Linked DNA regions of Arabidopsis thaliana. The protein of the gene in region 2 purifies or fractionates together with the protein of the main gene of each other region. This does not show direct contact. Each region holds a gene or a part of one and is shown on either strand. Other genes may lie near its edges. The genes, in order: PRL1 and DCL4.

What was found.
Region 1: the proteins of DCL4 (region 2) and PRL1 purify together in Arabidopsis thaliana (affinity purification with western blotting, with the first as the bait; one study listed by BioGRID). This does not show direct contact.

What each region holds. Positions count from the first base shown.
Region 1 is NC_003075.7:9,022,025-9,028,521, reverse strand, and holds PRL1 (pleiotropic regulatory locus 1), read right to left. Parts: upstream 4,857-6,497; 5' UTR 4,748-4,856; coding exon 4,614-4,747; intron 4,520-4,613; coding exon 4,495-4,519; intron 4,257-4,494; coding exon 4,151-4,256; intron 4,037-4,150; coding exon 3,943-4,036; intron 3,839-3,942; coding exon 3,773-3,838; intron 3,580-3,772; coding exon 3,495-3,579; intron 3,378-3,494; coding exon 3,285-3,377; intron 3,071-3,284; coding exon 3,007-3,070; intron 2,895-3,006; coding exon 2,809-2,894; intron 2,739-2,808; coding exon 2,637-2,738; intron 2,535-2,636; coding exon 2,451-2,534; intron 2,349-2,450; coding exon 2,288-2,348; intron 2,159-2,287; coding exon 2,092-2,158; intron 1,971-2,091; coding exon 1,893-1,970; intron 1,774-1,892; coding exon 1,709-1,773; intron 1,595-1,708; coding exon 1,517-1,594; intron 1,252-1,516; coding exon 1,079-1,251; 3' UTR 714-1,078; downstream 1-713. Other genes in the region: AT4G15890 (binding protein), read right to left, coding at 5,777-6,448. UniProt on the Arabidopsis thaliana protein: Pleiotropic regulator of glucose, stress and hormone responses. Also regulates cytochrome P450 CYP90A1/CPD.
Region 2 is NC_003076.8:6,866,177-6,871,121, forward strand, and holds the start of DCL4 (dicer-like 4), read right to left. Parts: upstream 3,091-4,945; 5' UTR 2,893-3,090; coding exon 2,516-2,892; intron 2,289-2,515; coding exon 2,111-2,288; intron 2,025-2,110; coding exon 1,914-2,024; intron 1,791-1,913; exon of another isoform or gene 1,760-1,790; coding exon 1,619-1,759; intron 1,529-1,618; coding exon 1,456-1,528; intron 1,251-1,455; coding exon 1,186-1,250; intron 825-1,185; coding exon 681-824; intron 601-680; coding exon 466-600; intron 1-465. UniProt on the Arabidopsis thaliana protein: Ribonuclease (RNase) III involved in RNA-mediated post-transcriptional gene silencing (PTGS).

The DNA.
Region 1 (6,497 bases), on a different chromosome or scaffold from region 2:
TTGCAGTAGCCGCCGGTACTAAGCCGCCGTCAGATTCCCCGGTGATGGTTTTTCGAGAGACTTTAGGGTTTGGGTTAGGCGCACTTATATAGACCACGACAGAGAAATTTGGGCTCATGGGCCTTACTGTGGACCCACTGCTCATACTTACTGCCAAAGTAAGGTTAAAAACTGAAATGTGAAAATAGTAAATGGCTAATTCATTTTTTTGGGGGGTTTTATTTATGTTTTTGCCTGTTTTCGAGAAACCCACAAGTGACTAGTGAGAAAGCTATGATAGTTTGATGCTTTGATAGTTTGATGATTGAATTGAAAGAAATAGAAGACGTAAAAACCAATGTACGTCTTCCACTAAACGATACTGGCAGTTAAAAAGGTGAAAAGTCTACAAAAGATCTGCGAATAAACAAGTATACTTTGGTACAAAAGATCAGAAGAGGTCGGTGAGATCTGAATGATGATAACTAGAACGTGTCACTTACGTATTGCAAAACCAACACACAGGTGTCTTCGCGCAAACGAGCTCACCATCACCGTCTCTTTTTAGTGGATCTTTTCCATTCAAATTGTTTACTATTTCAATATTTTCTTTTGTTTTTACACTTGGTTTCTTCGTATCAGCTGTTTTGTTTTTACACTTGGTTTCTTCGTATCAGCTGTGTAGTTACACTATAAAAGCTTCATAAACCAAACAACCCGAGCCAAAATTTAGGCTGAAAACTTTCAGTGGTGGAGACTAGAGATATAAGTTGTTGATCAAATACTTAGATTCGTCCTACAAAACTTCACAGATTTGGTTGCACAGAAATCATGATAGATCTTCGATAAGTACTAACGAAGAGAATCAAGAGACGGGAGATAAAAGTAACAAAGTTCTCTCAACATAAACAACAATACATGATCTATTATTGTTGATAGAAAAAATTACAAATGCCCTTAAAATACATAAAGTACATGGCCTTTTGTTTCCTCCCCACCACAAAACAAAGGTCCCCTCTCAAAAGTTGATCTAGGAAACAGAATCATGAAGAGATTAGTGAGATTCCAACAAGAGCTTTGAGTTACAGATACAAGTTATTTAGAAGCGCCTAATCTCCTTTGGTGGTTTGAAATTGATAGGATGAGTTTCTGGAGTTGCATTCTCATCTTCTTTCCACATCTTTATCGTCTTATCAGCCTCGCATGTTACCAATCTTGAACCTGTATTATCATAACACGCTGCATATATACCCGCTTCACTCTCCAGGGAACCTGCCATATGCCCAACCACATCCAATTAAAGACCCATTTACTATTTGCTTGTAAGACGACGCTATAGGCATTTACATAAACCATAAACCTACGTCAACTTTCTTGGTTTCCCTAGAGCTCAATCATAGTATCATACACTTCTAACATTTGAGTCTTTACCAGGGTTCAAACTTGACTACGTTGTATGAACATACCGAGACTTCTACATCTTACCATAACAAGGAGATCAGGAGCAAAAGACCATGAAAGCTATAAATGTACGTACCAGGCTGTACGATAGTTTCTGACTGTTGGAAACTGTGACCACTCTTCCAGTCCCAGAACCATATACTTCCATTATCACCTTCATTCACACATATATAGAATCAGTTTCAGTTGAAAATGATTATGTCTCACCCATTTTACTATCAAAGGAAAACAATCACAGGGACGAAAGGAATCAGAAATGATTATATACCTCCAGTGACCATCACACCATCCTCGTTTACAGCCATTGCATTAATTATGGTTTTCTGTTGCGAACTTTTCCATGGAAAAAGATAAACATTGTTCAAACACATCAATTACATAATTAATAATGACAGCTCCTATTTCAAAAGCACTGGAGATGCAAAGTATATAATTATCTAGCAGAGACTTACAGCATGTTGTGGCAGAACTCTCCCTTTGGAAGGCTAAATTTCTTGGTGTTGTCAGCTGATGCAGAAGCAAAGGCATTCCTAAAAAGAAAATTAAAGAGATAACATAAAGGAAAAGTTTAGGTGCAAAGACTTCGCTATTGGAAAGATAAAGTAGATTCAGCACGATACACAAAAGTAGATTCAGTACGACTACACATACTCTTTAGGATGGAGGGTCATTGCTCGGACAGATTTCTTATGATGTGTTAGCGTTGACATTGTTTTTCCTGCATATAATAATAATACAGCATTATTCAAATGAAACCATATATTTGCAGCAACTGATAATCAAATAAGGAAGGATTTAAATAATATGGATTTTAAGTCCAAACAATGGTTACAATGATAAGATATACCATATCGAAGGTCCCAAAATTTAATGGTCGTGTCATGGGATCCGGTGACAACTTGTGGGTCCTGCAACAACACAGATCAAAGTGAGTTCCAGTTACTATTATAAAAAGATTCAGCAAGAAATCCAAAAACCATAACAACAAGTCCATATTAAAAGAGACTTACTGTTGGACGAGTAAATACAGAACAAACGGTGTTGTCATGTCCTGAGAGTGCAAAAATTTGCATCTTGGTACGAATATCCCACACCTGCAAATAAGTAAACATGGACTTTTAAACTACAAATCCAGCAAAGTGCAAGAATTCAAACGAGAAGATATATAAATATGGATATAAATATTTTTGCCTTACCCTGCAGACAGAGTCTCGCCCCCCAGTTAATAAAACATCCAAAGTTGGGTGCAGAGCTAAGCAATAGACACCACTCAAGTGACCATGATAAGATCGGATAACCTATCAAATCAAAAATTCCAAGAGCATTAGATATGAGAAATCCAGATAATGAAGAGAATAGAGTTGTAACCTTATTCTGCTCAAGGTCCCAGCATTTGACTTGCTTGTCATCACCAGCAGAGAACATATAGGTATGTCGATTGCTTACAGCGAGGCCTGTAACAAAATTCAAAACAAAAGAGCCCAAACTTGTAACTTGTCCCGAGAGTGTTATTTATTGAAAAGTCTAACAAATATTAATAAACGAGAACAGATTTGAAAGGCTAACCTCGTACTTGCTCGATATGCCCAGTAAGTGTTAGCTTCAGAACTCCAGTTGCTACATCCCATATCTAGTGAATAAAACACAAGTAATAAATTCAGTAAACATACCAAAGTCGGAACTGCTTCTACAATCGCCAAAGTAGTGGATTTTTGGCAATGCACTAAACTAAGCTCCAGTAACTAGCCATAGAAGGGAAGTCTTGTATCATGACTTATAAGTATAACAAGAAAACATATTCGAAAAAATACAATTCATATTGAATAAGCAATCATCTCTGCTACCTTGATGGTACGATCAGCTGAACCAGTACAAAACCATTCATTACTCGGGTCAAACGCAACAGATCTGACCCAACCCAAGTGCCCCTGAATGACCTGTGAAAAGAATAATTAATCGTAAGTTAAGTAACTCCTCAAACCAGAGTTTTTTGGAGACCAACAAAAGACCAAAATCCGTATGATGCAGCAACAATGCTGAGCCACGGATTTTACCCTGTAATTCTTCCATGGTGCATGCCACTCTGGCCGGGGCCATCTACTTGGTATTCTCTCCATTAATGCAGCAGTTGACAGATTTCTGTAACACGCAAAGGAACGCAACAACAAAAAAGGAATCAGAATTAGAAGCTACATTATAAGGACAAACCAAAAAAATTCAGATTGGGGGAAGTCTAATTTGCATGCCCATGAACTACCTACACTACCTAGAGCTGCCATTAATGTATTGCAATCCAGATAAAGAAAAGCAAGTATGAGGACGAGAAAAAAACCTTTGATATGAAGATACATTTGCAGGTATAATGGTGGTGCTCTTCCCTGAGGAACCTGTATAGTTCCTTCAATTCGAGAACCGAATTCTTTTATGAGCATCCTCACGATAAAGTAGAACCATCAATTAGCATTCAGATCAACGAAACCAACAACAAAAGATAACACTTACAAGCCTTTAGGCAGTATTGGACGCAGTAAAGTTGGACCAACAACAATAGCACTCTCTGTCGCACCCTTTTGCGTACTCTTAGACCCTTCAGGAGCTGCAGAATTCATCAAGCAGATGATTTTATCCCTTCCAATACAAATAAGAATGCAAATAGCAAACAAGAAACAAGTTTTTATCTTTCACCAAGACATAGTGATATGAAAAACACCTGCGAGGGAAAGAGCATTTGAAGGTCCTGGCTGCTCATTGATGCGGTCAGGTTGACGTGGAGGTTGACTCACAACAGGTTCTACACCTCCAAACGCAACTTTCATCTGTACAAAGAAAACTTCTAAAATCAGTAACATACACAACAGAGAGAGAGAGAGAGTCTAAGTAAATCAACCATCTTTACTATTATTGGTAACAAAACCTGAAGATTTAGAACAATTATGGAAAAACCTGAATAAACCTAAAGTTCGAAGCTTTAAACCAAAATCCAATCAATAGACATTAAAAGCGAATAACTGAAATAAATTTCTAAAGACTGGTAAGAGAGACTCAATGTTTTACCTTATGGCTGAGACGAATCTGCTTGCTGCAAAAAAAAAAAAAAAAAACGAAGAAATCATAAAAACTTAGTGAAGAAAATGAAGATTCGAATCGAAAATTGGGGATCGAAGAAGACTAACGCTTCCGGGTCAGGAGGAGGGAATTGGCCATGGACGGGAGAGAAGAGTTCAAGTGATCGTTTGAGGGATTTGAGACTGAGCTTTTTCAGTGACTGTGCTTCGATGGGTTCGATCTCCGTCGTCGGAGCCGGCATCGTTCTTCTTTTAGGGTTTAGAGAGAAAGAGAAGTGAAGTGAAAAAGGGTTATATTAATAATCTCGAGTTTATTTATATCAATTTCACGATTTTGTTGCGCCGAAAAATTCTTTTAAAAGGGAAATGAACACAATTAATTTTTCTGGCTACAAATCTTCTTTTTAAGCTTTATGTTAAAAGGAAAAAATAAAGACACATATTTTCTTAATATGGTTAATGAGTAATTAGATTGATATGTATTAAGATATTGTATTTTCTTTCTCTTTATAATTACGGTTTTACCTTTTCTTAAACATACATATACCAAATGATGTATGAAAGTTTTCATGCAATATTATTGAGGTCATAAATTTTGTAACACTTTCTCAAAGACAATAGATTTATAAATTTTCAAATATTTTGCAGCATAGTTTTGATGAGAGACTCCCATGGAGTATTCAAACAAGAGATTTGCCACAAAAGTATAAATCTTCAAAAACCTTGCCCCCCACATGGAGAATGCATAAACCAAAGAAGGAAGCTCACACTATATTTTCGAATCTCTCATTTACTATCCATTTAACATGTTTCCCATAAGACATCTTCAAGAAGAAGATAAAGAGTTCAACACAAATACTTATATTTATTAAGCCAAAGAGATATGTAATCAGTCTTACATATTCGTAACATCTCTAAGCGCCATATATGTGCTAGAGATAGCTCTAATGAACTTGCAAAAGTTTTAAAGCCGTTATAGACATCAAATAGCATTTTTGAAAATATTTAATCACTTTGAGATGTTATCACTAAAATCAACACATACAACACATAAATCAATTTGAGGGCAGGGATGGATTTATCACACAAGGACAAACATGAGCAAGCAAACAAATGCGCGCACACACACACACACACCAGGTTTTAGTGTCTTATGCGGTTTATAAATACGATTTAGACTTTAATAGAGTCTCGATCTAATCTCCCAAAAAGAAAAATCGAAGTCATGCATTTACAGCAAAAGCTATTTTCTACAGTCTCATTTTTAAGTTCTAACTCTCATCATCAGACATGAAAGTTGGTCTTCTTCTCAGAGACTCCAACACATCAGCTGATGGTCGACCACTCTGGCTAACTCCACGGCTCGACCTTAGCTTCGGAACACTCATTGCGCTCAGAGGCGGCGTTGCAGCTCCACCGTTCACTTCTCTCAACACCGACCTAGCTGCCTTAGCCGCCACCACATCAGCAGCCGCAGAAACCACTCTTGATTCCAATCCCGAATCTCTAACATTCTCCTCGCTTGCTGCTGATGCTTCAGGTTCACCGTTTCTATGACTTGTCCCGCAGGCAACCCCTTGGTTAGCCATGGACCTTGCCTTTGCAGCCTCGTGCTTCTGCATATCGTAAACAAGCTCTTTCTGAAGCTGTTTGTCAGCGACAAGCATTTCTTCGATCTCGTTCTTGTAGTCTTTGAGGAGGACACGGAGGCAGTCCATGAGCGAACCTGTGAGAGGACTGTTCTTGCTCTCCAATAGCCTCTTGAGCTCAATGAAGATTGGAATCGTGTTCTGAATCAAACCTTTTCTAACAGCGTGCGTTATGGCCCTTCCTTTTGCAGTTGCTGCATCTCCACCTTCTTCCTCTATATCTGCTGTCTCCGACGATGCTCCTCTGGAAACTGATAAACGGATCTCTTTGCACGCCAAGATCTGAAACGCATCCTACACCGAGACAAAACGAGTTAAAAATCGGCAATCACAAGAAGAAAAA
Region 2 (4,945 bases):
AAACATTAGCACGCTACAACATGCATTAAGACACATATGACACCAACAAGAAACAACATACATAATTTTAATTTGGCAAAGAGGTAAGTTTACATATCGAGGTTAGATGGTTGTAACAAATTATAGAAACATGCACATAAATTTACCAAAAAAAATCTCTAGGAATTTTTATACAATTCAGCAAGCATCTAACAGAAACCCTTATTTGTTTTCCACTTTTTCCCTATTGTACAGCTATTGTGAATCTTGCCAGTCATTGTAGTCTTTGACTTCGATCTAGTACACTACTAATGCAAAAGTTTAATATAGTTGGCAATTATGGTAATAACTGTACCCTAAAACATGCATCAGCTGCTTGGTAAAACATTGAAGAAACCAGGAAATACAAGGTAATCAATACATCTGAAAGCAAAAACTGAAAACCTGATATCAAATCTATAAATTGGTTCAGTATGAAATTTCTACCTGTATTGCTCCCCAGAGGCCAAGATTCAGCAGAGTATATATGAGATTATCATGAGATCTTTTGAGAAGCCTTTTCATACTTAGGAGGGTTTGTGTTTGATGAGTATCAATCAGCAGCTTAAGTGATGCCAAGCACTGTTCATATCAGGAAGAAATATAAGCTCATATATCGAGGAACAGTGATTCAAAAGATTTATGAGACACATTTAGACAACCCGCTGTTTGATGTCCTCCAGCATGTTTTCATATCTGATGGTCGATTGAGATGCATCACTTAAAGCTGACCGATAATAATATACTTTGACTAAAGGAGATGAAACAAAACCATCCAGCTGGACATTGCTTTCCACTGAATAAACCTTTCAGATCACGAGAGACAAAAAGGGAAATTTTAGAACATTGTTTCGAAAGACCAACTGAATGTAAGAACATTAGTACGAATCTAAACATGAGAAAGATATTTCTGCCTTAGACTTCCAATAAATGATTAGTTTGGTACCATAAGCTTGGGCCGAAAATACCAAAAAAAACAAAAGATTCAAGCTTTCTCAGAGTATTATTTCTACTTTGGTATCACCCAAAACACAGCGTGATAGGGCTCAATATAAATAAGCCGGCAGTATTCAATTCTAGGAAAGATATCTTGCTACTTAAATACCAAAAATGTGTTCTAAGTTCATCTGCCAACAGCCAACCAAGGGAATTTCAGAACCAGCATACCTTGGCATTGAGCAAATTTTCAAGGCTATTAATGCTTTTCGATAAATTCTCTGATTGAAAAGACCCTGAAAAGTAGGTAAAGCTGTCAAGAGGTGGACCATCTATAGAACGAGATGATCAAAAGTAAACATGTATTATCAAGATCACGACAAACCTCACAACCGAAAGAGAACGAACAAAAGGAACTCAATGCAGAAGCTAAATCATAATAAAATCTTTGGACAGTAATGGACCAGCAATCCATAGTCACCATTAGAAAAATGGGCCTACCTTTGCCAACAACTGGAGATGCAGTCATTCCAAATATTCGAGGCCGTTGTAAACTTTCCGATTTATAGAAAACCTGCATTTGCAACAAAGTGGAGCAACTAAAAGTTGATTATATGTTAATAATATTTCAAGCACGATATACCAATAATGTGAAGGAAGATACCTTCATGATTTCTGCATAAGGATGGTTGCTTTGTTGTTGAGCATGGTGACACTCATCAAATATTAGAAGGGAGATACACTCCATCTTGATGAAACAGTGCTGTAAGTTATGCAGAAGTATTTGTGGAGTCATAACAAGAACCTGCAGGAAAATTCAGTCCCAAGAACAAAACAAACAATTGAAAGAAGATCGCATATAATAAAGTGATGGTTCCTACATAATTGTAAAATGGAAATAACAATCAACTTAAATGAGTCTCATAGGCTAAAAATAGAATGAGAAAACAGGAAATCACCTCATTCGCTGCAATCTCTCTCTCCCACTCCGAGTGGCTCTTCACAATCCTCTTGCCTCCACAATGTATTGCAACTTTGAAGTTGACAGAGTCCGCTATGACCTTGGCTTGCTGTAAACAACAACAAACTCAAGACAGTTAGAACTAATCAATCCGCATTAAACACCGACATATAATCAAGATGAACAGCCTCACACCTGTTCGACCAAAGCCACGGTGGGAGCAAGAAAAATACAAACACTTTTCTTGGGACTAAGAACCAAATGACCAAGCTCATATATAAGCATCACTGCAATGTGAGTCTTCCCACAACCTGTACCCAAATATACAATAACGTTCTCCTCCGTTGCTTTCTTACACAGCTCCACCTGATACCTTCATACAGCGAAACAAAATCATTAAGCCTTCTCAAAAACGAATTTCACCACAAGCAACACACACAAACAAAAAAAACTCGTCGCGATCTTTCCCTAAAGACAATCCGATACAACAACAGAATCGATAAAATACCATCCGTACAAAATCGTAAGCAAGGAAGCAAAGCAAAACCGAAGATAATGCGAGCTATGAAAAGTGTTGGCAAAGACGAGAAAAAATCGAACCTCCTGGCGATTTTTCTAGGGTCTTTCTCCATTTTCGGTGAAGGATCATCCGTACCAGCCGCGGAGAACAAAGAAGACGAAGAAGAGGAAAACGAAGAAACAGAGGAAGAAGAAGTGAGGTGAAGGTCGGAAGAAACATCGGCGTGGTCAAAGTCGAGTGAGCGAAGATCGTCGCCGATTTCACTGTACGGCATGGTCAAAGGAGGAGGAAGAAACTTGTGAGTGGCAGCACTAGTGTGAAGAAGAATTGGGTCCTTTTGCTGCTTTTTAGCTTTTTTGTTTTTGTTTTTTTCTTCTTCACAATTTTTTTGTTCTCTGTCTCGCTTCCCCAAAAGCTTCGAGGGAATGGTCAAGCTCAAGTCAACTTCGTCACGCATAATTCACGATCTCACGTCTCCCTCTCTCTTCTCTTCTCTTCTATTACAGCGTTATTATTAGGATTTCTTTCCAATAAATTGATTTTATCAGCTAATCAATACAATTATAACTTTTTAAGGGTATTTTTTTGGGTGGAGTGTGTGAAATTCTGAACCAGAAATCATGTGTTTCTACAATCATTGATTCTGAAAATTTTTGTGGAGTTATTGAGTTTAGAGATTTTAAAATACATCTTTTGGTAAATTTTTAGAGTGCTGATGTGTCAAGATATATAGATGAATATCTTATCTCTTCGAAATCTCAAATCTCAATTCTTTGGCTGTTAAGTTATCCTCTCTTTGTTTTACTATAAGTGTTGTTTTAACATTTTTACGAAAATTACAAAAACATATATATTAAAATTTATGTTGATTGTTGTTGATGGTTAGGGATGTTATATTACATATTTTGGTAAATTTTAAGAGTATTGATGTGCCAAAGTACATAGATGAATACTTTATCTCTTTGAAATCTCAAGTCGCGATTTCGTGGCTGTTAAGTTATCTTCTCTCCGTTTTACTTTAAGTGTCATTTAAAATTTTTACAAAAAATTATTAAAAACATTATAATTTCTATTATACCCTTACAATCTAGATGACTCTTGATTTTGATAAGGTTAAATTAGGTATTTGATCTCAGATTTTGAAAATCTAAAATGCGTTCATTTTTTAAATTTACGTATACACTTGAACTAAATTTAATTTGAAATGGATAGAGTATGATTTTTTGTACTGATATTTGTAGCATGAACTTCCGACTTGTTAAATGTCGAAGAAGAAGATTGAATCACCTTGTTGCAGGTCTTTTAGCTCTAGAAACAATTTACCATATGTGAAATTGCAGAAGTTTAACCTCATTTCATTTTTATGAGGTTAACACATACTTGAGTATTTATTTAGTCATTTTTAATATGAGTGGTGATGCAGCAATGATAAGTATTATAAAGTAAAAACATCTAAACTACATATTTTTCCATATTATACAACATTACATTGATTCATTTTGATAAATTTCCAAATTTTTATAGATTTACCTTTTGTTGATTGGACACACTTGACTACTTAAAATTTATATTGATGTACCTTTAACTAAGAAATTATGGGGAAAAAACAAGTGCACAAATTATGAATCTTGGTTGACATTCCATCAAAATCTAGGATCGAACCTTGTATTCTCCCAGTGGCGAGAGCTATATAGGCAGTGAGCCACTTTCTTTCATATCGAATGTTGGACTACTCGGTCAGCTTGTAGTGTCCAAAACTAAAGTAACAATTAAAAGAAATGACTTTTTCTTAAAATATGTTTCTTCTATTTTAAAATTAATATTTTAATTTTTTTGGGTTTTGTTTGTTTGAGGGTAATCTTCTAGGGTAACTAAGCCAAACCGAAAAAAGTTGATGTGTGTTTTTGGCTAGTTTGGTTTTCAGTCGTTCGACCACATATGTTGATATTTTGATCGTCACTCGGTTCGACCACATTTGATGTTATGATCGTCACCAGTTCGGTTCGACCACATTTGACCGCGTTATTTACTACCATAGTAATAATCGGATAAAACTCGATTGTATCATCGTATAACAAATTAGTCAACCCTAAAATATCATTCATCGACCTTTTATCCATTATAGAGAAAGTTGGTGCAAGTCTTGCATTTAAAAATAAAAAAGATTATTATCGAGAACTTTTTAATATTAGTACAAATGAGTACGTCGTTATATACCTATACCGAGTGAATATCATTGGAAATGTGATTCTTTTATAAACATCTTCTTAATTCTCATCAAGCTTTATAAAACATTACAACATTGGAAATGTTGGCTAGCACCGTTATATATCAACACTTCAAACATGCAAAAAGAAAATTATAATTATTTGCTTAGTGGTTTTGTCTAGCTAGTTATATGTATACATGTCACATGATAAATCTCTTTCTCGTGATTGTCAACGCGTGCACTTGTATTAAAGATTCCGTGTGAAATATGGAAAATTTAATTCATTTAACTCTCTACTCAA